4 linked regions of the Elephas maximus indicus genome follow. The protein of the gene in region 3 purifies or fractionates together with the protein of the main gene of each other region. This does not show direct contact. Links are inferred from orthologs where the notes say so. Each region holds a gene or a part of one and is shown on either strand. Other genes may lie near its edges. The genes, in order: PSME3, GPATCH8, CLK3 and FKBP5.

The links.
Region 1: the proteins of CLK3 (region 3) and PSME3 purify together in Homo sapiens (affinity purification with mass spectrometry; 5 studies listed by BioGRID and IntAct, counting the BioPlex papers as one, with this or other methods). This does not show direct contact. The link is inferred for Elephas maximus indicus from reciprocal best matches to the Homo sapiens genes CLK3 and PSME3.
Region 2: the proteins of CLK3 (region 3) and GPATCH8 purify together in Homo sapiens (affinity purification with mass spectrometry; 3 studies listed by BioGRID and IntAct, counting the BioPlex papers as one, with this or other methods). This does not show direct contact. The link is inferred for Elephas maximus indicus from reciprocal best matches to the Homo sapiens genes CLK3 and GPATCH8.
Region 4: the proteins of CLK3 (region 3) and FKBP5 purify together in Homo sapiens (affinity purification with mass spectrometry; 3 studies listed by BioGRID and IntAct, counting the BioPlex papers as one, with this or other methods). This does not show direct contact. The link is inferred for Elephas maximus indicus from reciprocal best matches to the Homo sapiens genes CLK3 and FKBP5.

Annotation. Positions count from the first base shown.
Region 1 is NC_064837.1:49,667,362-49,674,616, reverse strand, and holds the start of PSME3 (proteasome activator complex subunit 3), read right to left. Parts: upstream 3,019-7,255; 5' UTR 2,978-3,018; coding exon 2,903-2,977; intron 2,800-2,902; coding exon 2,767-2,799; intron 2,637-2,766; coding exon 2,574-2,636; intron 2,354-2,573; coding exon 2,249-2,353; intron 1,340-2,248; coding exon 1,291-1,339; intron 757-1,290; coding exon 644-756; intron 416-643; coding exon 347-415; intron 211-346; coding exon 143-210; intron 47-142; coding exon 1-46. UniProt on the Homo sapiens protein: Subunit of the 11S REG-gamma (also called PA28-gamma) proteasome regulator, a doughnut-shaped homoheptamer which associates with the proteasome. 11S REG-gamma activates the trypsin-like catalytic subunit of the proteasome but inhibits the chymotrypsin-like and postglutamyl-preferring (PGPH) subunits.
Region 2 is NC_064837.1:51,005,693-51,012,966, forward strand, and holds the start of GPATCH8 (G patch domain-containing protein 8), read right to left. Parts: upstream 3,010-7,274; 5' UTR 2,752-3,009; coding exon 2,707-2,751; intron 1-2,706.
Region 3 is NC_064831.1:64,685,830-64,693,619, forward strand, and holds the start of CLK3 (dual specificity protein kinase CLK3), read left to right. Parts: upstream 1-4,790; 5' UTR 4,791-4,878; exon of another isoform or gene 4,879-4,917; intron 4,918-5,200; exon of another isoform or gene 5,201-5,280; intron 5,281-7,790. Other genes in the region: ciliary rootlet coiled-coil protein 2, read right to left, coding at 1-36, 320-449. UniProt on the Homo sapiens protein: Dual specificity kinase acting on both serine/threonine and tyrosine-containing substrates. Phosphorylates serine- and arginine-rich (SR) proteins of the spliceosomal complex.
Region 4 is NC_064819.1:99,356,600-99,363,882, reverse strand, and holds the start of FKBP5 (peptidyl-prolyl cis-trans isomerase FKBP5), read left to right. Parts: upstream 1-4,267; 5' UTR 4,268-4,402; intron 4,403-7,283. UniProt on the Homo sapiens protein: Immunophilin protein with PPIase and co-chaperone activities. Component of unligated steroid receptors heterocomplexes through interaction with heat-shock protein 90 (HSP90).

The sequences.
Region 1 (7,255 bases), on a different chromosome or scaffold from region 3:
ATATTTAGCTATTTTAGAAACCAATTTGGCTCTTGTAATATAATATCTGGAAAGAGAGAGAAGAGGAAGCTGCAGGAGACCCTGGTCCAGTACCCACCACCTCACAGCCCCCAGTTCCTGGACCAAGTCCAAGCAGACCTACCTAGAAATCTGGTCCAGATAAGAGGCAGCTTCACTCTCAACAGTCCTTAGTTCTGCAACTGTCTCTTCCTGAAAAAACATAAACAAAAAACAAGTGAGTTGAAAGCCACTCCCATGTTACCCTGCAGCAGCCACAGATAAAGCAGGGAGATGGGAACATCTTCCAAACCTTTCCTTCCAGTTTACAACCAAGCAAGCATGTTACCTGAATGGATACCCCAAAGTTGTTCCCATCTTCTATCCTGGGAATCAGGAGCTGTACCCACATTTTGACCTGGAAGGTAGGAGAACCAAAGCACATATATGAGAACCTTTGCCTTTTCTGCTGAATGCCTGAAGTCTACGATTTGGGCTGCTGGGGCCAGATGCCAGGAACGCAAGAGCCAAGACACCTAGCCTGCCAACCCCCAAGACCATCTCCATGTCTCCAGCCCCCTAGCCATCGTTTTTCACCATTCAAGCGGGGCTATTTCGCTCCACAGGTCACTGGCCTCTGCCTCACCGTGTTGCATTTCTCGATCAGTAGTCGGATCTCAGGTTTCACTTTCTCAATAATGTCCACCAGCTGCTGGTTACTTTTCAGCATCCCATTGGGCATCACAAATACCTTGGTTCCTGGCAGGGACACGAAGGTCAAATGACTGGGGAGAGGAGGAGGACATAGCATCCTCCACTTTTCTCTCTCCTTCCCCATACCCACGAGATGCTGTGACCTCTGCCTTTTGTCACAACCCTATCTACAAACCATGGCACCACTATCAGAATCAGAAAGAGAATGTACGTATTAACCAATGAATACTTAAAGCCTGCCAAAAGCCTTAAGGACAAGTAAATTAAAATAAACGTATACACCAAAGACTTAATATATCGATTTTATTGAAGTGGGAAAAACAACATGGAAGTGGAACTTCCATGAACGTCTGGATACGTAGACTCCGTCTACAGCCTCTCTCCCTTGGCAGTCCACAAGTCAAACCCTCCCTCTCTTTATTAGAAAGTTAGGTGTAGGGCTAAATAATGACCGCGTTTGGAGTGCTTAGGAATGCCGACTCTGGGAAATAAAACCAGACCCTGTTTCCTGGCGAGAATACCAGATCCACCCCGCTTCTCAGGGACGCAGGTCAACAGTGGTATAGGGGTGGCTCTTACCTTGGAAGGCCTCTTCACACTCATCCAGCCTTCGCTTCTTATAAGTGGGCTAAGGATACAAAAAAGGCGTGAATTGGCCTGCCCTCGACGTCTACATCCCCAGTTACCTTTCAAGCAAGTTTAATTCCTTCCTCAACCCCATGGGTTGTTTTATCAATTTATGTACAGTTTACTAAGATTATCTAAGGCTTTAAGACAGGGTTCTTGGCACAAAGTAACTAATACCCTAGTTGGGAAGACCAACCTTTCAAGAAATGAAAGACGTTAAGCAATTGGGGGAAGAGGGGTGAGGGAAGGATACTATAAAAAATACAGAAAAGGAACGATTAATGCAGGGTGAGGTTAATTAAGGGAATATGTACAAATCTCCTGGTTCCACAAATATTGAATATTGAACACGATATTCAATCAACAAACATGTCGCACTTTCTGTACACCTGGCACAATGCTAGGTGCTGAGGATACAAAGATGATTAAGACACTTTCAGTCTTCCAAAAGTGCAAGTTCTGTCCATCAGACAGTAATGCAGACAAAAACAATACAGTCTGACTAATGTTATAACAAAATTACATGAATGATAAGGACTGGGTTCTGAAAAATAATGAAGCACAGCAAAGACAGGGACTGGAGCTATAGGGCATGAAGAATTTATTAAGAATAGAAAGAGCAGAAAAGCCTTGCTTAAAGGTGCGGGAACAGACCACATGACCTCACAGAAGCTGTAGTGAGTTTACTCCTCTACACTGAGAGTGAAAGGAGAAGAATAATCTCATGCCATGGATGTAAATCAGGGTCTAAAGGGAATGTGCTACAGTTGTCACGCCCGTAAGAGTCAGAGTCCTGGTTCCCAGATCCAAATTCCACTGTTCCCTCTGTACATGTTCGAACTGACCAGGGAGCAGACAACCAAGAACCTACGGCTTAAGAAGAGAAAGATACATATAAAACGACACTTACACCGTCCAGGCCATCGTGGCTATTGGTGAGAAGAATGGGATCAGGGACCGGGAGGTTCATGTCTGAGTGGATCTGAGTTAGGTCATGGATGTTTAGGATTGGTTCCTGAAACAGAAATGCCCACCCCCCAAAAAACCTTAGTCTTTTCAAACTGAACAAAGAAGTATTTCATTTGAAGGGCAAGAAATGAGGCAGTGCTTGACGGTGCAAAACAAAATAGAATCAACATACACTTTGTCCCATTTAAAAAAAAGACCAGAGCCCTCCCACACCCAAAAAAACAGGGGAGATTGGGGAAAACAGAGGAAAGAAAAAGGTCTCTCACCTTCAAAAAACTATCAAGTTCTAACAACTTCTTTGGGAAAAAATTTGCCACCAAGTCTTCTGCCTAAAGGTGAGGGTGAGGGAATACTGCTGAATTAGTAACTGTGGGAAGGTCTTTCTCTACAAATATTCTCCACTTTGGGAAACTCTCAACTACTAATCAGCATATGAATTTTTCTCCCTATTTCACTCACCTCACTTGTGATCCGCTCTCTGAAAGAATCAACCTAAAATTAACAAAGAGAGCAATTCGGTAAAAGCAAATTCAGTGCCTGGCAACAGAGGTGAGGGCAAGATGGGGAATCTCAAATCTAGCTGCCTTTCCCTCACCTTGTAATTGTAATGAGAAGCTGACAGACCCCCAGACTGCAAATACTTTATTTTTTTGAGGATCCATTTTTCCATCTTAGGAGAGGGAAGCGGGGCTTGAAGGCTGCCTCCGCCTTTCTTCCTCTCCTCCCTCCCACCCTCTTTCCCCCCCTCCCTGTGTCAAAAGCTGTCTAGATGTGACAGGGGACAATAGACAGGTAGATGGAGGATGTGAGCTCACAAACGTGCCAATCCCCACCAGACCTAGCCTATGGTATGGGGTAAGCCTGACGCCAAGGGCAGGGGCAGCAGCAGTGTCCGGGCGCGGGGACACTGCTGGGTTGGGGGATTTCCAGCTGTCACTAGCCCAAAGCATTGAGGCGAACACGTGCCCGCCGAGGTCTCCCCGGGGCTCTCCATCACCAGACGGGCCACTAAAGGCCACCCTATATTATCCTTCCCACTGGGGCCGTCTCCGGCAGTGGGGGGCTGGGCTGAGCCGAGCGGAAGCTCAGAGCTGGAGTCCCCAGGGAGACAAAGACGCCATGGGAGTGGGGAGTAGTCAGGCTGCTGAGGGAACAAGGCGGGGGGTGAGGATGTTCGGACCGGTGCGCTACCTTGAGCTTCACTTCCTGATCCACCTTCAACAACGAGGCCATGGCCGGGCCGGGCCGTGTCCGCTCCGCTGTAAACCGGAGGCGCTGTGGGCTCCGGGGAGGGGGCCAGAAAGGCGGGGGGAATCTTTGCTGTCCTCGGGACGCCGATGACCTCGCCGGCTCACTTACTGCTCGCTTGCTCCCTCCGTGCCGTCCTCCCGCCTGCCCGCCTGCCTGCCTGCAGCCTGCTGCTTGCTCTCTTTCTCGCTCGCCCTCCCGGCTTTCGCCGCTCACACCGGAAGTTACGTCACAGCCAATCGCCGGGACTCCAGCGAGTACACACACGTGCCCTGCGCAGCCGCGCTGGGGTTCGGCTTTGGGCGCCCAAGGGCGGAGCTCATATTTCTCGGTCTGTTGCGCGCTCTGACGGGCTCCCTTACCTGTAAAGGTGAAGTAAGAGGGAGGACGGCGGAGGGTTGTGTACTGAGAACCGAGCCTCTTAGAGGCTCAAGAACTGTTTGGTCCTCAGTTGGCCTGGAGCTCGCCTTCGCGGAAGCGAACTCCGGAGCTGGTGCCGCCCCGCAGACAAGAGCGTCAGTGCCGTCGCAGCCCAGTGACGTCCGCCCAAGGAAGCCGGCTTCCCCAGCGCTCAGTTCGCTGAAGTACGCGGTTCCTGCTGTGTTATCTCGTGGACAGAAGAAGCTCAAGTGTTTGAGGCTAGAACCAAACAGAAGACAGATTCCGTTGTACCAGACTGCCCCACTTTTCTCCTCTTCGTCTCGTAAACTTCCAGACCTCAGAGATAACTAGCTGATGTGCAAAATGACAACCAGAGTAAGGAAGGGCTCGTCCAGGGCTACACGGTGTTTCTATAAACCCGGGACCAGAACCCAGATGTCTTGATTTCTAGGACAATGCTGTATCCATTTTCCTAAGGGAAGGCAGAGGCCGTATCTCTTCACTCATCAATTTATCCGGTTTATCTCTTAACATTGCTTATTTCACTTAGTTTTGTCCAAGAAGCTAGAAATACAATGTGAGTCACGAATGTCGTTTAAAATCTCTTAGTAGCCATATTAAAAAAGTAAACAGGTGAAGTTAATTTTAATCATATTTTAACAGCATATAAAAATACTCTAACAAAAAAAAACATGTAATCAATATTAATGATATATTTTACTTTTTTTTTTTCTTGATACCAAGTCTTCAAAATCTTATTTTACGCTTACTGCACATCTCAGTTAGAGCCAGCCACGTGTGGCTAGTGGTTCCTGCATTGAACAGCACGGCTTTGGGAAACCAAAGGAAAACATGACTCTAGTCTCATGGGGCTTAATGTTAGGGAAAGACACCAAAAAGTAAACGGATAAAATACTTGCAAAATTCAATGAGTGTTTGGGGGAAAATGGCTGACAGAGAGAATTCCAGGGGTCTATTTTAGAGCCCTGGAGGCACAGTGGTTAAGAGTTCCATTCTTAACCAAAAGGTTGGCAGTTCAAATCCACCCACTGCTCCTTGGAGACCTTATGGAGCAGTTCTACTCTGTCCTGTAGGGTCACTATGAGTTGGAATCGACTATAGGGCACCAGGTTTATTTTAGAATAGCCAAGGAAGCCTCTCAATGAAGTGATGTTTAAGCAGAGAGCTAAAGGATGTAAAGAAAGGGGTTAGCGGTAACGACATTTACCCTGGGCAGAACTCTGCAAGTGCTAGGGAGAGGAGAGGAATACACAGTTAAATGGAGGCCTATGGAGTCCAAGAGACTTGGCTTCAAAGCCTGCCTCACCTCCTTACTGGAATGTTGGCAAAGTTACTGAACTGCTGAGTCTCAATCTCATCTACGAAATTGAATTTTAATAATTACTAGTAATAAAATATAATTTTGTAGGGTTGTTGAATATTAGAAATATATGTAAAACAACTGACACACTGGGCACAAGGCAGGAACTAAACAGTTATTGTCAGATGAACAACTTGTTAGTGCTTAGCATAAAGAGATTACTCGTTAAACTCTGATAATTATCATCATCCCTGCTTTTAAGCTTTATTTATTCATTCATTTATTCAAGACTGCATACAACATCCTGTACTACCCATCTTGCTTCATTAACTTCTAACACTTTTCGAATGCTTTTACCTCTCCCGTTAATGTATGTCCCAAGTAACCTTTGAAATCTGATCTGAAACTTTAGGAATTTTTTCCCAAATTAACTTCATCCTATTTTCCCTATGCCAATGCTCTGCATTTCCTTCAGCATTTGTAACTTCAACTTGAGAGTTTAGTATGCTTGTGCTTGTTGAAATACAACTTTGTTCTCAAGTCATTATGTTTTGTCTCCTTCAAGTAGGCTATAAGAAGACATACACATTCTTTATTTCCCTTCCTTCTCTCCAACCCAGATGTTTTAAATGATACTTCACTTATTTATTCAGCAAACAATTGCTGAGGGCACCACTATCTTTTTTTTTCCAATTTTTTTATTGTGCTTTAGGTGAAAGTTTACAGAGCAAATCAGTTTCTCATTAAATAATTAATATACAAATTGTATTGTGACATTGGTTGCCAAAGATGTGATGTGTCAACACACTCCCCGTCTCCACCCTCAGTTCCCTGTATCCATTCATCCAATTTTCCTGTCCCGTTCTGCCTTCTCATCTTTGCTTTTGGGCTTGTGTGCACATTTAGTCTCATATACATGATTGAGCTATGATGCACATTGCTTACATGTGTTATTGTTTGCCCTGTAGACCTGTCTAATCTTGGGCTGAAAGGTGAACCTCGGGAGTGACTTCAGTACTGGGTTAAAAGGGTATCCAGGGGCCATATACTTGGGCTTTCTCCAGTCTCCGTTAGACCAGGGACCTAGTATTTTTAACAAGCACTATTCATTCCTGGGTGTTTGTAAATCACACATAATCACTGATGACTCGTGACACTTTAAATTCGTGTCCCCAAATCTCTAATGAGTGTACAACACTACCTGAGAGCCTATGGCATGCTTCCGTCAAGTTTCCTCTCCCACACTCCAAAATGACTGTCCTATCTTGTCATCTCCCTCAACCTCCAACATCCCCCCCTCACCTCCAGCGTATGGTCTTTGCTTAAACTTCATTGAGAAAACAGGAGCAAATGAGTACTTCATTCCACCAGTAAACCTGTTGTTGTTAGGTGCCACTGAGGCAATTCCAACTCAGTGGCCCTGTGTACAACAGAACCAAACACTGCCTGGTCCTGTGCCATCCTCACAGTCATTGCTATTTTTGAGCCCATTGTCGCAGCCACTGTGTCATTCTATCTCATTGAGGGTCTTCCTCTTTTTTCACTGACCCTCTACTTTACCAAGCATGATGTCCTTCTCCGGGGACTGGTCCTTCCTGATAAAGTGACGCAAAGTCTTGCCATCCTTGCTTCTAAGGAGCGTTCTCTGGCTGTCCCCTCTTCCAAGACAGATTTGTCTGTTCTTTTGGCAGTCTGTGGCGTATTCGATATTCTTCAACACTAATTCAAAGGCATAAATTCTTCTTTGGTCTTCCTTATTCATTGTCCAGCTTTCACATGCATGTGAGGTGATTGAAAATATCATGACTTGGGTCAAGTGAACCTTAGTCCTCAAGGTGACATCTTGCTTTTTAGCACAAACTGACAGACAAGTGGTGGCCACTAAATCTGCCAACCTGCAAATACTTTACTCCTCTTTCACTGAAAGAACTATCCCTGCTACCATTAAATCCTCACTCTTCCTTTTGTGTGTTGGATTGCATCCCTTTTCACTTTCTC
Region 2 (7,274 bases), on a different chromosome or scaffold from region 3:
GAAATTAGTGCCACAAAATCCATAAGCCCATCTCTCTGACTCCATACAAGAGACAACAAACTCACCAACATTTTACACTTGATGGTAAATTGCCAAAGAGTGAAATTTTACAATTCTAAATTATCTTGCCAAAATAAAGGCAAATAAAACAGTAAGTCATTTAGAACTTTCCAGAGAAGATGGCACAAGGAAATTTCCAGTGCTATCAGAAGATGTTTAAAGAACAGGACCTATATACTGTGTTTGAAAACCTACTAAGTATTTTTCAAGCCTATTATCACTAAGTAGCCACAATATTCAGTGACTTCGCCTCATTTATCACTTAAAAACCTGAAAAGGAGGCCACAGTTTTTCTTTTCTGGGGGGGTAGGCTATAACCTAGATTTAATTTCAAATAACCTGAACTTGAAAAATGTTTCAGATACGCCATACACAAGGGTGTTCTATTACATTACATTCTCCTCCCCAAGAACTTTAAATCAAAGGACATTCTTCATGAAAGTCAATCTGTTTTCCTTTTATTAAAACAGAGAAAATGCTACTTTATGTATTTTTAAATGAATTCTCTTGAGAAATGTTAGCACAATAGTTTACAAAAATTTTAACATCTCCTAACTGTCTAGAAGATTTCCACTCCCAATAGCCTATTAAACCAAAACGCTAGGACATCTAAATAAATAAAAAAAAAAAAACATTTCCCTGGTTGACCCAATACAAACCGAAAAAACCAAACCCCTTGCTGTCGAGTCCTTTCCAACTCATAGTGACCCTATAGGACACAGTAGAACTGCCCCAGAGGGTTTCCAAGGAGCAGCTGGTGGATTCAAACTGCTGACCTTTTGGTTAGCAGCCGAAGCGCTTAACCACTGCGCCACCAGGGCTCCTGACCCAATACAGGAGTTGGTTATTTCAACATAAAAGCAGGAAATAAGTTTAAAATACATGTAGTATCTTCAAAGGACTACCAAGCAACCAAAAGGAGATTTTACATAAACCCAACTAAAACAGCAGAGGATCATCCTTCTTAGAAACTAGGTATTGAAAAACTAGAGGCTAGCCTCAATTTTTTCAAGTGACAGCATTCACACTCTGCTACCCATGGTTTTCAAAACCTTCTTTCAAGCCCCTGCAAACTCTGGGTTCTTTTTTTTAAGTCTGTTGTAATTCTGTGGTTGAGAGCCATTTTTCCTCTAAAAATTGTCCATACTTATCTATTTTCAGCTTTATCAGGTCACCTTGAAATTCTCACGTCTAAAAAGTATTTCAGGGTGTTATCAATTTGTCTCTTTAAAAATTACCAATGAAGTCCACATACTTTGCAGCCTATTCATGTTTTATGGTGTTTGTAAAGAAGTAATCGTCCTCAGAAATCAAATGGCCCATATAAACTGTTTCCAACTTCCCTGGGCCTGTATCATATCCTTAAAACACCCTGAGATCCTGTATTGTGTACTGCAGCTGTACAGCAGGCGCATGATCACAGGGCTTTTCAACAGCCGCCCCCCCTTCTTACCGCTGCAAAACTTCTCGCAACGCTTTTATGTACTAGACTGTTAACAGAGTCCGTTTAAAAACTGCTAAACAGCTTTACCTGTTTACTAATCCATTCACCTCAGGGAATTCAAATCCTTCAAACGGCCTTCTGAACCACATTTAGAGTAGTTCTCACGTTGCTTTAAGGAAGATCCGCAGCGGGATAAAAAACTTGAGTTCTGATGTTCATCCCCTGACCCAAATTGCTGTTGCCAGGGTATGCGGTAGTAATGCAGTGGTTTCTTTGACACTCAGAATGTATTTTACCCTAGAAACAGTCAACCTCTACTAAATCTTTCTTAGTTTCGGAGATTTCCACACTAACAATACTCGACAGTAAGGTATTTTAAACAGTCAGAGGACAAGTTATTCTAAACTGGCCTTAGTTTTTCCCCAATAATGCTTGCCATTTTTCCACACCAACATCTGCAACTGGAGAAAAAAAAATCGAGTTTTTGGCACTAGTTTTCACATGCTCAGAAAGCCCATTTGTCATTACGTCCCCCCAAATCTTTCTAGGTAGGATTTGGGACTGACTGAGCTTACATCGACCACAGTCGTATAACTTAAACTGCTGTCCAAGACCAATGAACGGCCTAACAACAGCAACATTTATGGCCAGTGAAATCTCAATGTCTGATTAACCAAGAACGCGTCTGATAACTAAGGCACCCTTTTTGCAGGCGAAGAAATGGAAAAATGGGCAATGAAAAGGATTATTATAGTGAGGGGAGACGGGAGAAGGGCCCCAAGAAGATTCGAATGAGCGAAATCCAGGGGTTCCGAAGCCCTGGCCTCAGCAACTCTCGCCCCATCCTCCCAGCGCAACCCTCTTTCCCCCCTGGGAGTCAGCCCTGCACCTCCACAGGCCCGGCCGCCCCGCAGGGCGCACGTCCCCCACTGCCCCCAGGCTGGGGTTCCGACAGCCGAAGCCCAAACAGGTCGAAGCCGCAGATCCAGCGGCCTGAGTTAAAGTCAGAGAATGCGGGTGGGAGAAGATGCGGCCTCGCCTCAAGCTGGGAGGCCCCTTGAGAAAACGGAGGTGGGAGGAGGGCTAGCGGGTTCGGAAGCCGAAGCAGAGCCTGGAAGGAAACAGATCTGGGAGCCAAGGATGAAGAAGCTTCCAGACTCGGCCGGCGCCTTCCCCGGGTCCTCGGCTGCGCCGGTGTTTACCTGAAAGTCTCGGTCCTCGTTGAAGCGGGAGAAGCGGTCCGCCATCTTGCCGCCTTCACTCCTCTCAGAACGACGCTCTCCGGTTCACTCCTTCCCTACCGCGACACCCGCCCCCTCTACTTTCCCTCCCCCGTTCCCCGCCTCCTCCGACGCCCACCGGACGCGCGCAGGCGAGGGAGGGAGGGAAGGAGGGAGTGAGCCAGAACGCCCGTCCTGACGGAAACCCCGCCGGCGCAGGCGCCTTCCAGCCTCGGAGGCGGAACCTTCCCTCGCGTCACCGCTCAGCGCGCTGCCCGGAGCAACCCCAGCGGCTACGCGTGCGGACTCGCGCCCTGGGGCGCTTAGCGCTTCCGGAGGGAAAGGTCAGAGGAAACACGGTGGGGATGAGTCGGGCTGTTTTTCCAGCTGCTCACTTGCCGGTTTACAGCCCTTTTCTTACCCTCCTGGCTCCCTGTGTATGCAGAGGTCCATCGTCTATTTAATTAATCAAATAACAACGTAATATAGTGCGGCGGAAAGCACGGGCTTTAGAGCCGTTCTACTTTGTTTCAAATCCTGGTTTGCCCTGAGGACAAACGGTGAACTAACCAGAAAAGATGCCTTCTCTCAAAGGGCTTACGTTCCATGGGGGAAGTCAGATAACTGACAGTTACACAACTTCAGCTATTAATAAGTATATTTAAAAAAAAACTGGGTGCCATGATGAGAAGGATGACCTCTGAAATGGCCTTTGACCTGAGAAGCGGAAGGGGGCCTGCAGCCTTGTAAGGTCTTGAGGCAGAAGGAATATTAGACCAAAAAGCCTTATGAATGGAAAGAGTTTGGCATTTACAAGCAATCGTTTGAAAGAAGTATTATTTCTCAGAGGTCTGAACAGTTGATCCAATTCAGCTAAAGCTCTCTAGGCCTGTTTCCATTTTCTAAAATAAAGAAATTGAGTTTGGTAATCTGTATCCTCCAGACCTGGTGGTGAAAAGCTTAAGAGCTTGGCTGCTAACCAAAAGGTCAGCAGTTTGAATCCACCAGCCACTCCTTGGAAACCCTATGGGGTTCTACTCTGTCCTGTAGGATTCCTGTGAGTTGAATGACTCAAGGGCAGCTGGCTTGGGTTGGTTTTTTTTTTTTTTTTAAACCCTCCAGCTCTGCACTGACTGTGTGGGTCATAAATCAGACTTATCAATCCTATGACCTTCCTGAGGATCCCACCCAGCCCTCTAGTACCCTTAGCTAAAGTACATAAAACACACAGGTGTGGCAGGACTTCACTGCTTTTGAAAAGAGCTGTTGGTGGTAGTAGTACCTTTGAGTCAATTCCATGTGCAGAATAGAACTGCTCCATTGGGTTTTTCAAGGCTGTGACCTTTCAGAAGCAGATTGCCAGGCCTTACTTCTGAGGCACCTCTGGGTGCATTCGAACTGCCATCCTTTAGGGTAGCAGTCCAATGAGTAAGACAGTGGTCCCCAGGCTGCAGAAAATTCCACCTTTTCAAGCAGCTTGCTTGGCACACCCATAGCTTTACATTAGAATCCTGGTTCCTTTGCTTGACAAGCCTCCTCCCACCAGCTTTACATTTAAATCCTGGTTCCCCTCTCCTTAACTGCTTCCCCCAAACTGGAGAAAATTGGCAGAAACCAATTTAGGCGCCATGCTGATATTCAGGATAACCTTTTGGACCTCATACATAGTAACTTCCCCGCCTCTGGGTAGAGTTTAACCATTTTCTGAACACATGATGCCTGTGTAGTATGATTAAGAGTTGCTGATGTAACTTGCATGAACTTCCTACTTGTAAACCCCTTAAAAGTAACCTTCCCCCTTGCCCTCCCTGAGCAGTCTTGGCAGCAGCCCTAACTGTCTCCTTTCTTTATACAACCAAATGAGGCGCCTTTCTACTCTCCCACCTCTGGTCTCTCGTTTGGCTGAGAAGAGTCGCACTGAGCAGAACCTGGGACTGTTTTTGAAAATAGCAACAGCACAGAAATCACACAATGGAAAAGCAGCCCTTACCCTGGCCCTGAGAAAATAAAATGGAATGTAATTGTTTGGAGGAAGTGTGGTTATCTTCTATTCCTTTGATCTTCTATTCCTTTGTTACCGTCTGTCCTACCTGACCCCCAGGCCAATTATGAAACAGCTCTAAGAAGTGAAAAGACATCCCCATCTAAGCGGAGGCAGAACACATTGAATTCATACTTCGTAAAGTGACTTGAGGGTTAAGTAGCAGATTGAATCACGTAGGTACACATCATAAATTTACTTCTCTCTCTCCAAACCCCACTAAAATGACAAAGGGATGAGAAGGGTATAAACTCACATGGACAAAGAGAGCAGGAGGGGGACAACAACAGACAAGAGATGTCAACAAAATTTTAGAAGGTAGAGAGCATAGATAAGTGGAAATGGCTTTGAGAGAGTAGAGACAGTCCTGGAGTAGGGGAAGCCAGGAAACAAGCTGATTTTCGTGAAGAACACCAGAAAATCTTGGGAATTGGAGTCATTGCTAGGTAACTCTTAAGGTGAGAGTGTGGATGAGGCTGAAAACAGGAGGATTGGTTGGTTACAAGGCAGTTTAAGAGCAATTAGACCCTAAATTCCATTCCTTCTCTAGGGGAGCAAGCTGGAGGTTACCCTCTAGAAAACTGGAACCAAGAAGACTGGGTTTTGACATGTCTAGCACAGCTGAGGTAGGGGGTGCCAAGCTGAAAACAGGAGGATACAGTAAAAGCCAGCATTCCAGCGAGAGACCAAGGGAATCTCTCCCTGGGGAAACTGACTTGTTTAGGGAGAAAAAAAAAAAAATGTACAAGCACCAACAACGGGAAGGAGGAGATTTGTCAACAAAAATGTCAGTTCCTGCCCAAATACCATAAAAAGAAGCCCATAATACAGCAAGCCCCATCTACACAGAGCTTTGACTCAGCTTTTTAATGCCTCACTCTTAAGTATTAAGGAGCCCTGGTGACACAGTGGTTAAAAACTCAGCTTTAAATCAAAAGTTCAGGAGTTCAAATCCACCAGCTGCTCCTTGGAAACCCTGTGGGGCAGTTCTACTCTGTCCTGTAGAGTCTCTGTGAGTCGGAATCGACTTGATGGCAATGCGTTTCTTAAGTATAAATGGATAGCCAAGGATTACCAGACATTTGAGGGGAAATCTGTAACAGGAAAGACATAGATACCCTCCCTCAAAACACACACGAAAACAGCAAAAAGGAATTCAGAGGCGCCAGAGATAATGAAGGAGCCCTGGTTGCTCCATGGTTAAGCACTTGGCTGCCAACCAAAAGGTTGGCAGATGGAATCCATCCAGGGAGAAAGACCTGGCAATCTGCTCTCATAAAAATTACAGCCCAGAAAATCCTATAGGGCAGTTCTACCCTGTCACATAGCGTCACTGAGAGTCGAAATTGATTCAGTGGCACCTACCAACAACAGAGATGATAAAAGGAACAGAAAGAAACATCAAGAGAGTTATAATCAATATCCACAGAGATAGAGATCGTAGTAGGGAACAAGGATAGGATGCCAAAAAAGAAAAAATATTTGGAAATAAAGAAAGATTTTTGGAGATTCAAAATTCTTAAGCAGAAATGAGAAATTTCATAGAAAGGTTAGAAAATAAAGTTGAGGAAATCTCTCAGGAAACAGAGTAAAAAGATACCCTGGTCCAAGCCACCTTCACTCTTCACTTTCTCCTGAATTACTGCAGTAGCTACTAAGTGTTACCCTTGCTTCACCTTTGTCCCTTGCATTCTGTACAGCAACTATGGTGATCCTATTAAAAAGTCAGTCAGATCACGTCAGTCCTCTGCTCCAACTTTCGAGTGACTTTTTCTGTCATTTACAGTATAAAGTCTACTGACCACCACCACCTCCCTCTCAAGCCTCATCTTCTACTATGCTCCCTGCTTCCCTTCTCTCTGGGCACACCAGACCTGCTCCTGCTGCGGCCTGCCCTATTTTGGGGCTTATGGATATGCTGTTCTTTCTGCCTGGATCATTCTTTCTCAGATATTCACAGGGCTTTCGCCCTCATTTCCTGGTCTTTACTCAAAATGTTACTTTCTCAGTAAGATCTTTTTTGATCACCCTATTTGAAATTACAGAGCCCTATATATTTATTTTTTTTATATAAAAAAATTTTTTTTTATATATTTTGAACTCCCTAGCCTCTTCCCCTGTTTTGTTTTTCTTTATAGTACTTATCACTTTCTAACATATAATTTTCTTACTTCTGCTTACTGTTTATATTCCTCCACTAGAATATAACCTCCACAAGGGCAGAGACTTTTTTTCAGTTTTATTCACTTCTATATTCCCAGCACCCAGAACAACGACTGGCACATCTATACCAAAGCCAAATCCATTGCTGTCAAGTTGATTCCAACTCATACCACCCCTATGAGCTCCTATGGGCTCCCAACTGGCACATATCCATCACTGTTGAGTCGATTCCGACTCATAACAACCCTATAGGACAGAGTAGAACTGCCCCATGGGGTTCCCAAGGAGCGCTGGGCAGATTCGAACTGCCGACCTTTTGGTTAGCAGCCGTAGCTCTTAACCACTA
Region 3 (7,790 bases):
CAGACATGAGATCCATGGGCTCTGCCTCAGTGGGCCCTGAGTACAGAACAGACTGGAGTCTAAAGCTGGAGCAGTCCCTTCCTCCTAGAACACCCACCTTTGAGCCCCCTCCTCAGATGCAGAAACTGAGTCCCTGGGGTGAGCATGCACTCAGCCCCACCCCCTTGGCCCAGGGTTCTCTCTGGTTATTCCAGTTTCAGATAAACCCCAGCCTCGGCACCACTAAACAGTTCTCAGTTCTAACAGTTCCCGTGTGCTGTGGGTGCTGACCGCCAGCCAGGCCACCTACTGAATAAACACCACCTCATTTCACACTCACGGGTACCCGGCTGGGGGCTGTGCCGCTGAAGCTCAGAGGGGGCATTCAGTTGCCCCTGGTCACTGCAGGGCAGGGAAGAACGGCCCAGTAAGCAAGGTAGGCACAGGATTACTTCTTCTTGCTTACTCATCTGTAGAGCACAATTTCACCTGTTCCTTACCGTGTTAAAGATGTTCTGAGACCCATATGAAACTGTGCACTACAGATGATAAGTAAACACAATTAAGCCCGTGCCTACCTTGCTTGCTGGTTAATCCGCCCCTGCTGCAGGGAGTCCCTGCAGAATGGGGATTCCCACCCAGCGCTGTCAGGCACTAGAGCGCACACTCACCCACCCTGCTGCCCTGCAGCGCTCCCCTTCCAGGTGTGTGAGTCTGGTGGGCAGTGGTTAGGAAACAGTAGGGGCCAGGGGAACATTTCAGGGCCAGCACAATTTAGCTAAAGGAGCCCTGGTGGCACAACGGTTAAGTGCTTGGCTGCTAAGAAAAAGGTATGGGGTTTGAACCCACCCAGCAGCTCTGCAGGAGAAAGACCTGGCGATCTGCTCCCGTAAAGATTCCAGCCTATGATTGCTCTGACAGAGATCACAATAGAGGGTCGCGGACAGAGCAGGAGAAAAAAAAGTAGAACAAAATTCAAATTCACAGAAAAAGACCAGGCTTATGAGTCTGACAGAGACTGGAGGAGCCCCTGACACTATGCCCTCCGGATACCCTGGTAACTCAGAATTGAAGCCACTCGTGAAGTCCACCTTTCAGGCAACGATTAGACAGGCCTTTAAAACAAATAATAACACAGGAGAGGAACGTGCTGTTTTAGTTCAATCAAGTATTCAAGACCAAATGGGCAACACCTACTCAAATGCAAAGACAAGAAGGCAGGAAGGGACAGGAAAACTGGAGGAATGGACATGGAGAACCCTGGGTGGAAAGGGAAAGGGGGACAGTGCTGACACATTGCAGGGGTTGCGACCAATATCACAAAACGGTTTGTGTATAAATTTTTGAGTGAAAAGCTAACTTGCACTGTAAACTTTCACCTAAAATACAATAAAATTAAAAAAAAAGATTACCCACCCACTGCCATCGCAGCCTAGAAAACCCAACGGGGCAGTTCTACTCTGTCACGTGGGGTAGCTATGAGTAGAAGTCAACTCAATGGCACCTAACGACAACAACAACATAGTTTAGCTGTGATGTGGGGGTCAGAAGCCCCCAAACTCCTTGCTCTGATACCTCTTCAGTTTCCATAACTGCAGCTGTAACACAGGGGCCCTGACACCCATTCCCCACCAGCTTGTGGTAACTCATGAGGCAGACAAGGACTACTCGGTGGGTATTATCCCCTCACACTCCTCCTATCCCCACTCTTCTTACCTCCAGGGCCTCAGAGTCCTACCACTGTCTCCTTCCTCCCAAGCCTGAGCGCCAGGTACCCAGGCCCAGGCTCCGTGATGGCATGGAGGGTGTGTGGCCCAGTCCTGGAAGGCTGTCTCCACCTGAGGAGAAAGAAGAACTAGGCTGAACCTCCCCTCCCCTCGCCCTGATGTGCCCATTCCTCATATACCCAGACCTGCTCCCACCTCAGGATGGCACTGCCATCCACCAGGCCCTCTCGCCTCTAGACACCTTGACTACTCTCCCCTCCCTCCAGGCCCAGGTCCCTGCAGCCCAGGAAATGGGAACCTGACTCTCCTAGGGGCTCCCAGGAAGGTTTTCCAGGGGAGGTAACCCTGGGGCTGAGGCTTGAAGGTGAATTAACTACCCCTAGAGAAGAGAAAAATGGATGTGGCAGACAGAGGAGAGAGCATGAGCAGCAGGACAAGAGGGGGATCAGAACAGCTGGGGCCTGGAGGGGCAGTAAGCTGAGTCTGCGTTGAGGGTGGCCAAGTGAAAAACCAAGAGGGGCAAGGCTGGCCCTAAAGAGGAACTGTGGGGCCAAGTGGCTAGGAGCCGGGCACAGGGCGGAGGCAAGACCTCGGTGCTCTTGAGTCATGCTTTGGACCTCAACAGAAAGGACCTGGTGCGGGCAGGGGCGGGCGACTGGGAAAAGAGCTTGGGTCTTCAGGGCAGGGCTGTGGAGCAAACCTCTGGAGTTGGTCCACCCCCTGAGCTCCCGGGCCAGGGGTTACCAGGGACTTATTGCCAGGCAGCACGGGAGTATGAGAGTGGTGCAAGGGCAGTTCCACATACATCACATCAGGGTAGATCTTTTTCCAAGTGCCTATTTGGTGCCCTGGTGGCACAGTGGTTAAAATGATGGACTGCTAACCGAAAGATCAGTGGTTAGAAACCACCAGCAGCTCCACGGGAGAAAGTTGTGGCAGTCTGCTTCCTTAGAGATTTACAGCCTCGGAAGCCCTGTGGGGTGGCTGTGAATCGGAATCCGCTCAGTTGCAGTGGGTTGGTTGGTAGGTTATTTGATACCCTGTTTCACATTCTGCTCAGGTGTGAGTTCTTTTAGGAAGAAAGAGACAAAAGAAAGAAGACTTACTGGTAGAATCTCAAGCCCAATGGCTGCCTGACTCCAGATTTTGGAGAGTTAAGGAGCTGGGAGATGGCTCCTATTTCTCTTCAGAAAAAGAGAGAGCTGCTTCCTCACTGGGAGGTAGGGACTCCTGGTTTCCTGGGGGTAGAGGGCTTGGGGGAAGATGGGCCTAACTTACCTCCTCAGAGCCTGGTGCCCAGAGCAGAGCTGGGGACAGGAGCCTCTCTGAGGGCCTTGGCGCCTCTCAGCTGCCCGCCACAATCCTGGCTCCAAGGAGCCATGGAAACCGCGGGCAACACTAGGTGGTGGGAGGAGGAGCCACCAGAGCCCTCCCACCTCGTATGAGTGGATGAAACCCCTAGGAAGAAACCTGGTTGGTGTGTCCACGGCCTAGACCAACGAAGCATTGAAGCATTTGGAGCCCGGGCATAGGGGTGGGTAGGGGTTGTGGCACCTCAGGTGCCTGCCATTTTTTAACCCCCTGGCCCCTGAGGCAAGATCCTGAGGGGGCGAGATCTGAGGGCGGCAATAGCCAGGTTCTGGGTCACCCACTGCACACTTGAAGTGGCTCTAGAATTTCTATATTGGGGGCAGCATTTGATTGGCAGGAGGACTCGGGCATGGTCTTGAGGGGGCATTAGCGTAGCAAGCACCCAAGTTTTAGGTAGCTTCTGTGTTTATTTTGGGTGGGAGTGGTGGAGGAAACCGAGATTTGGGGGATGTAAGCATCCCTCAAGCCACGTCGTAAGACTCCAGTTTAAGGGGGCGCCAGAAGCGAAGTACTATAGGGGGAATGGTCGCCTCTGACCAGGCAGCCGGGGCTTGGAGACCGCGCCCCCAAGTCAGGGGCGTGGCCAGTTCTCATTGGGGAGGGGGCGGGAACTGGGCGGGGCCGGGGAAGAGAGGCAGGCGGGCGGCCCGCCTCCGCCCTGCCCCGTGAGGTGTTGGAGAAACCCAGGCCGCCCATTGGTGGATGGCAAGAGCTGGCTGTCCAGGGGAGGGGGCGGTGCCTGGGGAGATGCCCAGCCCCGCTCACTCCGGCCGGGAGAGGCTGCGGGTTTCCAGCGCTCGCTTGGCTTGGGGGCAATTAGGGGCCGCTCCCGCTCGTTTAGCTGCGCGACGCCCGGGAGAGCCCGGGGGCGGGGACGCCACTCCCGGATCGGGCGGGGCGTGCGCGCCACAAAATGTGAGGTCTCCCAAAGGGCCCCGGACCTCAGTTTCCTCATTTGGGAAATGAGGCTTCGTAATCCCGCTCTAGACAGATAGGAGGGAGGCGTTATGGTGATGCCATGCTCGGGGGCCCTGCATGGCGCGAGGCTTTTGTTTGGCTGGGGCTTACTGAGAAACAATGCTGGCCGCACTAAGACGCTCTAAAGGTACTCAAGGGGGAAGAAGACCCCCTGCCACCTGACCCCGACCCCTCCAAGATGCCCCACCATTGTGGCTCTCGGGTATATTCCCAAAAACTGTTTTGGATAAACACACAAACACACATTTCATTTGCTTTTTTCACACAACCGTTGTCACCACCGCCTTCGTGAGCCTCTGGGCCCAGGTCTCCGCCGTCTTTAGTTCCCTCTTGGGCCCCGTGGCCAGGTGGACCGCAGTAACCCCCGTTTTCACTGTCGTAACAGGGAAACAACGACCGTCCCCTCCGCGCACAGAAAAGGGGTTGGCGGACACGGGCGAAGCTCCGCCTTTCGGCTCCGAGCACCCCCGCCGGGCATGGAGAGGCTCGGGGACCAGGCACCTGTCAGGTCTGGAGGGTTTACGTGCGTCGAGACACGACAGGGGGCGGGGCGAGCCGCCGCCGCCGCCGGAGCCACCCCTCGGCCCTCCCGGAGCTAGTCTCGACTACTCTGCGGCACCGACCGGAGCGTGGAAGGCCAGTCCCCCAGAGCCTTCGAGTCAGGGGCTAGAGCGTCCCGGCCACCGAGCCGAGCCGACCCGGGGCTGGCGACGCCTGCGTCACCCGGGGGGCGGGGACGCCACGGGCGGAGGCCGGAGCCGGAAGCGGAAGAGGTGCTCGGAGCGGGGAGTGGGGCCTAGCCGCAGCCGGAGCCTGGGAGACGGTGAGTGTGGGCCTCGGCCCGCGACGACGGCTGCGGGAGGTGAGTCGGGCGGGGCGGCCTCGCCGGGTGCGGGTTTCGGGTGTCCCGGTTTGGGCTCGGTCCGCGCCCTTTCTCTTCCTTTACCAACCTCAGGCCGCAGCCCCGACCCCTCACCCCTGACCCGCTGCTTGTCGCCCCGAGGGCGAGCACGGCGGACCTCGAGCTCTCGATCCCGTGGTGTCGGAGTGGGAGCCAGAGCAGCCTCTGAGGCCCCCTCTGTCAGCCCCTGCAGGGACCCAGTTTCGGCACTGCGCCTGCCCGAGGAATGGGGTCGGGGTCCGACCTGGGATAGCCTGGAGACTCCTTCAGACTCCTTGGCTCGAGCCTTGGTCCGTAGGTCCCTCCTCCCCGCGTGGCCTGGAGTTGGATTCTGGCTCACACCGACCTGCCCCCACCACCTGGGTCCCTCCTCCGCCATTGACGGTGGTTCGGGGGGCACGGGGCTCCTAGATACCCAAGACCTGGGGCGCCCGAAGGGACCCGAGCGAAGGCCGCAGGCGCCTGTGTGTGTTTTGTTGTGATGATGGAGCCGCTCCAGCCCCGGGGGAGGGGCCCGGCCAAGCTGACAGCCCAAATGCCCGGCTGCTCCTCAGCCCGGTAGCCTCTGTGCTTTTAGTTCCGGGTGCGAGTGCCCTGGTGTGGAGCCGGTGTGGGAATTGCCCGAGCCAGGCCCCGGTCGAGGCGGAGTTGGCGGGCTTCCAGCTTCCCTCCTCCGTGCCCTTGAAAAGGAGGAGCGTTTCACCCCGTTGTGGCGGCTTGCGAGGTGGCAAGCTTGAGGTTGCAGTGGCGGGGCAGTGCCAGCCAAAAATAACCGTGGGGCGCTGGGGTGGCAGGGCTCCGGGAGGGCAGTCGCTGACCCGGCTGGCTGCACTTCTTGTCAGCCCAGTTCTCTGGCCAGGAACAGCAAATGAGAAGCCGACTAGGCCTGTGCTCCGAGGAGAAGAGCTGGCATCCTCGGCCTGGTTTCCTTCACATTACCTTTTTTTTTTTCCCATTGTGTAGAGCAGAGCCTCCTAAAGCATGATCGTGACCTTAGCTTCCTAAAATAACCTGTTTGCTGGGGTCTCAGTGGATCTGAGGCAATGGATGAGAAATGGGCTCTTGTGCTGTTGGTGGGAGGCTGAGGAGGGGGTCTGGTAGGTCCAGTAGCTCACCTGCCTAAAATGCGGTAAAGGAGAGATGATTTCTCCTATTAGTCTTGCCTTGCGTGTAGTACTTTATAGCTCTCATGCTTGTCATCTCCTTTGCCAAGTTGGCTGGGAGGTAGTGTTATCTCTACTTTCCAGGTATGGTAGCCGAGGCCTAGAGTGACTTGTATAAATTCACGAGGACAGTAAGTGACAGCACTGAGAATTAGGTCAGGGTTTTCTGCCCAGAACTGTCTTCCCCCAGGTTCCCAGGAAGGGACTTATAAAGTGTTCTTAGTGCTCTTAAGGCATTTAACAGAGGTCCAAGTTGTTACCCGGAATGTTTTTCATTTTGTTAATGAAAAGTTGCCTGTAGTACCACTTGTGGGCCCAGGCCTATGCTAGGCAGTTGGTTTAGAGGAGACACATTAAATCCTCACAAACACTTGTAAGAGATTGTTATCCTGTTATTGCAAGAGGAAGCTGAAGGATAGAGCAGTTGAGTAACTCGCCCAAAGGCACACAGCTAGAAGTGGCAGTGCCAGGCTTCAGACTGACATCTGTCTGCCTCTGAAGCCTGGGCTCTTTCCACTAACATGAAGTGTGTGGACATGTGTATCTTCCAGGTCCTGGGAGGGAGGCTTTGGCCTGGTGTGGACTAGACCAAGTCCTCCTGATGCTTTGTCTCCTAAGCAAGGAGGGCCCATGCCAGGCCACTGGAGCTTTCATTCCACAGCTTGGGCACCTGCCCCAGGGTAATGGCAGGAAAACAGTGAAACATTAGTCACCTAATCAACAAAACAGAACAGCAATCCAGGTCTTAGGGATCTGTCAGTGATTTTCTGTATGTTTATCTCCAAGGATTGCTGAGGGCTGGGCCAGTACCACTTCCTGGACTTCCCAGATAGAGAGGGGACATCAGCTACTGGGGAAATGGAGGGCAGTGACTTTGTCAGGATCACCGAGGAGCTCCCAGGAGTTTGGTCAGATTGGCCTCTTTGCCCTGCTTACCCCAGGGGGAGCCATTCCATGCTGCTCTCCTCTTGACAGACCTTTCTGCCTTGATGGTGCAGCCTCAGTGGGTTTGTCCGAAATGTGCTGGTCAGGTGAGCCCAGGACTGACCATGACCAGAGGCTGGCTGTGGCCAAGTGAAGGATTGGCCTAGCCTTCCCATGGAGGCAGCATCAGGGTTTTGGATGTAGGTGGAAATGGGGGCTGGCCTCACATAGCCACTTTTCTCAGCTGGTACTGGTCCAGCCTGGCGATTTCCCGTGGCGGATATAAGTCTTTGCTTAACAGGGAGAGTGGGGTGGGGCCCTTTGGCCTGCCTGCCTGTGCAGGCAGCCAACCCCTCTGCTCTTCCTGAGATGGGAACAGGAGCCAGTACTGGAGCAGGGGAAAGAGAAAAGGGGACAGCAAAGGTGATGTTGGAGAGAGGTGAGGCACTGCCCAGCATGGCACTGCAGGTGGTCTGAAGGGTGCTAAGTGGGCCTCTGGCAAGAAACTTGGGTGCTCGGAGGACCCTGGCATCCCAAGGGATACTGAGACCAAGTGATGACCAGTAAGGGCTGGTCAGACTCTGGGGTAAGCTGGGGAATATTTGTGAGACCCTGTATGCCTCTTTTTCCGAGGGCTTGTCCTCTCATCTGTGGCTCCTCACATTGACTTGCGATCCTTACTCCCTTGAGTAGGGTCCACTTCAGGGCCTCAGCCAGGAGACTTTAGGCTGAAGGTGTTTCCCCGCT
Region 4 (7,283 bases), on a different chromosome or scaffold from region 3:
ATGTGTCAGTTCTGGCCTCAGCCTTAAGAAGGTCTGGCAGTTGCCTTGTTTTGGCTCTGGGGGAAGCCAATTGCCATGTAAGAAGTCTGAGTATCCCGAGAACTGGAACCTAATCAAGGAACCATGCCCAGCTGGATGTCAGTATTGCTATGGACCTGTGACTGCTGTGTGCCGCCATTTCCTCTTTTTTTTTTTTTTCCTCTCTCTCTCTCCTTTTTGAATGGAGGCATCTATAGCAATTTTGGAAACCCTGGTGGCGTAGTAGTTAAGAGCTATGGCTGCTAACCAAAAGGTGGGCAGTTCGAATCCACTCCTTGGAAACTCTATGGGGCAGTTCTACTCTGTCCTGTAGGGTTGCTATGAGTCGGAATAGACACAATGGCAACAGATATAGCCATTTTCCTTTCCCCACCTCACCATCGTATGTTGGGCAAGTGGGGAGCAGATGAGTTAGTTGTCTCTTCTATTCGGAGGTCTTCAGACTGAGAGGAGCAGCACTTGAGAAACCTCATTTATACCCGCGCCTGATTTCGATGATACAATACATCAACTGTATGTTCCGTATCTAAGGAGAGAAAAGCCAACCTTGAAAATTATAGCAGGGAACTAGGAGATATAAGAAGTGACACAGCAGATGTGAAAAAGAACCTAATAGAAATTCTAGAACTAAAAAATAAAATAACCAAATTATAAGAGCTAAAAAAAGAAAAAGAAAAAGCTGAAGAGAGAAATAATGAACTGAAAAATAGAGGAAACTTACCAGAACAAAGAATCCAAAAAAAACCCAGTGCCTTTGAGTGGATTCCGACTCATAGCAACCCTATAGGACAGAGTAGAACAGCCCCACAGAGTTTTCAAGGAGCATCTGGCGGATTTGAACCGCTGACTCTTTGGTTAGCAGCCGCAGCACTTAACGACTATGCCACCAGGGTTTCCAAACAAAGGATAGAAGGACAAAATATTGAAAAAACAGACGGAGCGGATGGAGTGAGAAAGTTTTATGTGTTTCAATTGTAGCCACAGAAGGAAAGAAGGAAAGGGACAGAAACAATATTTGAACAAATGATGGCTGAGAATTTTTCAAAACTGATGAAAAGCTATTCAAAAGGTAGTAGGCAGCCATGAAATGACAGCGATCCATTCCACTAGGTGTTCTAACTCTTAAAATAGTACACACTTTGTGTACCAAGCTGCCTTTGAAAAGATTCTGAAACCAGAATGGAGTAGCTCCATAGTGAATAATAGGGCTTGCGTGCACAGTTCAAGTACAAGTTCTATCATTTTCTAGCTGTGCAGCTTTCCCAACTAGCAAATGGGAGTCTCTGGGTGGTGCAAATGGTTAATATGCTTGGCTGCTAACCGAAAAGTTGGAGGTTCGAGTCAACCCAGAGGTGCCACAGAAGAAAGGCCAGCCATTGAAACCCTATAGAGTGCAGTTCAGCTCTGCAACACATGAAGTTGCCATGTGTCAGAATGGACTCAGTAGCAACAGTTTTTGTTTTTTTTTTAATGGGACTAGTAATAATGACCTTTCGTGAGGATCAAGTGATACAATACGCGTGAACAAAATTAGTAAATGCCAAGTGCTTTAAATATGAGCTGTGGTTTGAGCAGCGCCAGGCTGGCCACAAGCATGCCCAGGGGCATGAACAGTGACGGGTAGGACTGGCTACATAATTTGTGAGGCCCAGTGCAAAATGAAAACATGGGGGCTCTTGATGAAAAATTAAGAGTTTCAAGATGGTGATTGCAGAGCATTAAACTAAGTGCAGGGTCCCTCTAAGTGCAGGGACCTGTGGGACTACACACGTCACATGCCCATGAAACCAGCCTTGAAACCAGACCCTGTGAAGAACTACGGTGTGTGGTAGGACAGGGCTGCTCGTCCCACACCCAGGTGTCTGCAGCTGTGGCCCACGTCATCTTTGGATTCTGAAGGGCAGCAATGTTTAGGGAAAATGCAAGCACACGAGTTTCTAAATGCCAAGGAGGGCAAGTGCAGTGACCGGAGTGGTTTTCTGAGGGAGTGGGTGGGGCCAGCCAGGCTGCCGTCGGAACTGTAGAACTGACTGTTCCCCACAGACTCCAGCCTAGGAACAAAAAAAAAAAAAAAAGGCTGCAGCTGTATTGACAGGGCCTGTTGTTGTTTGCTGCGGTGTGTTACAACACAGCCTGGCAGCCTCCCGGGCCTTTCTGTCTTCCTCCTGGAAGAGCCTGGTCCCCGAACATGTGACGCAGCCACACAGTCCTGCAGATTTGTCCTCGGCGTTCCCTCAACCACCAGAGCTGCCTGATTTTTCTCATACTATCCCTCCACTGCCTGGGAGTCCCTGTCCTTCCTCTCCCATGTCCCTCTATCTTCGTCTGGCAAACACCTACTCCATCTTTTAAGACTCTGCTCCAGTGTCACTTCCTCAATGAAGTCTTCTCTGGCTCCCCCAGGGAGAGCTGACTCCTCCTCCTGAGGACCCTCTACTGTATACTATATAGACATCTGTCGCAGCCCCTGTAATCTGAGGAGCACTGACATGCTATGTGGATGCCACTGTCACCTAGGCTGAAGCCCTCAGCTAGAGCAATGTCTTCTCACCTCTGTATACCCTACACGTAGCACAGTACTTAATACTTGCTGTCATAAAGCAAACTGGATGCTTAATGCACGAATGGTTACATGCTTGACTACTAGCCAAAAGGCTAGTGGTTCAAACACACCCAGAGGCGCTTCAGAAGACAGGCTTGGCCATCTGCTTCTGAAAGATCACAGCCTTGAAAACCTTATGGAGTAGTTTCACTCTGACACATATGGGGTCGCTATGAGTCGGAATCGATTTGACGGTAACTAACAACAAATGCTTAAATTGGTGTTAGTATGAAGAGTAGTTTTGTCTTGCTAAATTAATGTAAGAACAAAGTGTCCCAGGAACTCTTCCCAGCAGCTGCAGAGAGGGGAAGCTGCTAGGCACTGAAAAAAAAAGGAGACATAAAATGACTAAGACAGGGTCCTTGCCCTTGAGGAGGTTTTAGTGTTGGCCCTATGTCTTTTCTGCAGCCACCACCTTTTGAAGGCAAGGAACAACTAGGTACCACCCAGCATGGTGACTTGTAGTAAAGGCTCTTCATAAAAACTTAAATGGCCAACACCATATAGTGGAAAGAAGGCAGATTTGGAACTAGGAGGTGTGAGTTCTGACCTAGCTATGGGACAATAGCTTTCCAAAGGTAATTATTAGATCTCATAGGTATCTAAGGAGCCCTGGTGGTGCAGTGGTTAAGTGCTCAGCTGCTAACTGAAAGGTCAGCTGTTGGGACCCACCAGCCACTCTGAGGGAGAAAGATGTGGCAGTCTGCTTCCTCAAAGACTACAGCCCAGGAAACCCTGTGGGGTGGTTCTACTCTGCCCTATAGGGTTGCTATGAGTCCGAATCGACTTGATGGCAACGGGCTTGGTTATGGTATAGGCAACTAGCCGTGAGACTTTAGGGATGTTTGCTCAGAAATGAGGGACTTGAGCTATATAGTTCCTAAGGCCCAGGAACCCCTCATGACTATGGGAGCTACTGGGGAAGCCCATCTAGTTTGAGGGTGGGGTTCTCTTGAAGTTGACCTTGCTTAGCAGGCCTGCCCTTTTTTGGGGTGGGGGAAGAGGTAGAGCAATTTTTAAGGTCCCTTCCTGTCTCAGTTGCCTGGGATCTCATGTTTGAAAGGTAGAAAGCCATGGGAAAGCATGGCCCTGGCAGTCACTGGTGAGGTGCTGTGTGCTAAATTGGTTCTTGAGGTGCGGTTTCTTCAGTCTTGGCTGGGCGTCTTCGACTTCATGGGGTCATTTCCTGGGGCTGACCTGGCCTGCCCCTCTCCGTCCTCAGGGCACGCCTGGTGGTCAGATAAAAAGGACAGAGTTTTCGGAGAGGCGATATGGGTGTTAAGTCAACTAGCTTGTTTAGGCGTAATTTCTCTGGAGGTGAGGGAAAGTGTGTGTGTGTGGGGGGGTCGGTCAGCTCCCTCCATCCTGTCCCTCAGACCCCCACAAAGGTCCAGGGCCAGACACGTGGGCTGGTGAGGGGAGGCGGAGGTAGCATTAAGGCGGAGATGCAAATGAACGGGGCGGGGCCTGATTTACATGGACGGCGCACGGCCACCAATCCGGACACGCAGGGAGACAGCCCGCGCGCCTTTTGGGGGCGGACTGACAGCCCCAGGGCCCTATGGAAGGCGGGTCCTGCGGCCGGCGGGGGCGGGACAGCGCCGGGCGCTGCCCGGGGGATTGGGGCCGGCTCGCAGGCGCTGCCAGTCTCGGGTGGCGGCGTCCGGCGCGCGGGCGGGTGGCCTGCTGGGCGGGCTGAGGAGCGAGCGGCGCGCGGGTGAGGCGGAGAGCGACGGATCCGGCGAGCCACCGCAGCGACAGGTACCAGCGCCATGGCCGCAGGGATGGGGCGGGCGGCGCCCCGGGAGCCGAATTCCCTCATTCCGGGTCCCGCCACGGCCGCGCCGCCTTCTCGCCCCTCACGCAGGTCCCCAGCCCGGGAGCGGCTCGCGGGGCTCGCGGGGCCGGGGGAGCCTCGAGCCGAGGGCGCCAGGACGCCCAGCCCCCCTGCGGGCCCCTAGCGGCCCCGCCGACCTCGGGGCCGGACCTCGCTCCGGGAGGCGCGGGAGCCGCTCCGCCCCCGCTGCGCGCCCCCTGGTCCTCACCCGGCTTTTGTTTCCCGCCCGGGCTGACAGGTCCCGGCTCCCGCTCCTGTCTGCGACCCCGGCTGCCCGAAGGCAGGCGGACCCGTGACCGCGGAGCGGCGCCGCGGCCGCCGGGAGGAGCGTGAGTAGCCGCCGCCGCCGCCGCCAGCCGGAGAGAAACTTCGCCTTCCGGGGCCCGGGGCGGCGGGAGAAGTGGAGCCCGGGCTTGAGCTGCGCGCCGGGACGCTCGGCGGGCACGAGCCAGGCTCCCTCCCGCGGCGGGGCCCGTGGAGGGCGAGGATAACGGAGCGTCCCCGCGGCTGCCCTCCGCGCCAGTTCGCGCTCTCCCGGCGTAGCCAGCCCGATGGGTGTGGATGGGCGTGCCGCCTTCACCTGCCGCCCGGGAGCGGCGTCTGGAAGCAGCATCCCTGCGCCTCGGCCACTTGTTGGAGGGGCCGGTGCACGGCTCCTTGAACTCGTGATTCAGTTATGCGCTGGGCTGCTAACCTAAAGGTGGGCGGTTCGAACCCACCCAGCAGCTCCGCGCAAAACGACCTGGCCATCTGCCTCGTGAAGATTACAGCCTAGAACACCCTAGGGGCAGTTCTGCCCAGCCAGATGGGGTCGCTGTGAGTCGAAATGGACTCCACGGGCACCTAACAGCAGGGCCAGATGAAAGCCAGTTAAAAGTTGTTTTAGGATTCCTCCTTCTGTTCAGCCCTGGCGCTAAAGCCTTCTACTTTTTATCTGTCTTCTAAAGATGTGCTGGCGAGGAGTGTATGAGTCAAAACCAGGATTGAGACAAACAGTTTGAGGGTCAGGGTGTAGATTGCCTTTTCGACTCACAAGCCAGGAGGAACATTTTAGTCTCCTTTCAAAAATGGGTTTCTGCAGTGGTGGGGAAGGCGTAGTAAGGTACGAGTTGTAAGTGGAGACTGCAGGACTCCAGATCGCCTTCCGTGTGGTTCGGAACAGCGTGTACAGCCTTTGGCCGCCATTCAGTAAATTCTGCATGGAGCAGTTGGAGCTCGTGGTTTGGATTGACTCTTCAGGAGTGTGTTTTCCAGTGGACTAAGGTTTAACGTTGAATGGGAGCTTTCTTTGCCTTTCTGAGGGTAGACTCATACAGGAGTGTTTATTTTTATTGTCTTTGCATTTTGTTAGATTGTGGACTAGGGAAAAGTTAAGGCATATTTTGGTTAATTATTTTTAAGTCTGTGGGAGTTCCATTCCCATTCCCCCCCGCCTCCCCATATCAAGATTTTTACTTTAGAGAGTTATAGTAGCTGCTTCTCTTGGGGTTGAATCAAAATGCAAGGATAGACTTAAAAAAATTCTTATTCTGGTGGGATTTTTTTTTTTCCTGTCATACCCTCACTTACCATTTTCTATTTGTCTCTTTCTCAGCGGACTTCTGCCTAACAATCTGCAATTATGGCCGTGACCAGTTTAGGGCATCTATAGAAATAATCTCATATAGGGTCGCTATGAGTCGGAATCGACTTGACGGCACTGGGTTTGGCTTTTTTGTTTGTTTGTTAAAAGAAATAATACATTTTTAAAATTTGGGTTATTAATAACACTTGTCTTTCGTGAGAAACACTTTAGTTTACTCAGTTTCTTTTTCTTCAGCGTCATTGTATTGGACATGATTTACACTTTAGAGATTTAGCTTTTTAAGAACAAAGTTACTAATTTTGATTTAGATGAGTTATGCTACTTTGTTAGTGTTTTATTGAATGATAATTTTACTTATTTACCTAGGAACATCATTGTAAAATGGACACTTTTGTCAACAGGTTAGTCGTGACTATTTCAGATTTAAAAAAAGTCTATATACATTTGGTTTTTAAAATGTTTTATTTCTCTAAAACACCAGGCTTATATATTATGAGGTCTTTCTCTTTCCAGCATTTAGTTATGGGAATTTGGGGTGAATTTCTTTTTTAAAACAATATTAACCAGTTAAAAAATGAAAAGCTTAAAATACTGGATTAGACAATTAAATCTTAAATTTTCTGTTTATTTTTGGATTGGAGTAGATTACATATTTCTGGTTTTTTAGATTCCTGTAGGGTTGCTATAAGTCGGAATTGACTCAACGGCAACAAGTTTTTTTTTTTTTAAAGTCAGTTGAGGATGAATTAGTCCAGAGAAAAGAGGACGTGTTTTTCTATAACTAAACTACTGCTATAAAAAACTGAGTTGGCTTTTTAACGTTTAGTGAGGATACATTGATTGAATAGTGAGTCCTTATGTAAACTGGGTTCTGTTCTGTATAAAGAATTGTGAGGAAACTTACAAGATGGGCTGTAGTTGTTCTGAGAGATTTATATAATTGTTCTTTAAAATGTATAGGAATGTGCTACTTTAAATACAACTAAGTGTAATAGAAACTATAGTCCTTGTCCTATGATGAATAATTAAATATCATAAGTTAAAGTTATATTTTGTAGATTTATACAAAAGCATATTTTAGGTGATTTAAATATGAAGTACCTTTTAATTAAGGGCTCATCTTAAAATTCAGTTTTTAGATCATTTAATTACTGAATTTTGTCCACTTAAATTTGTGGTAGACTATATTATAAAATCACCAACACACATTTCAGTTTCAA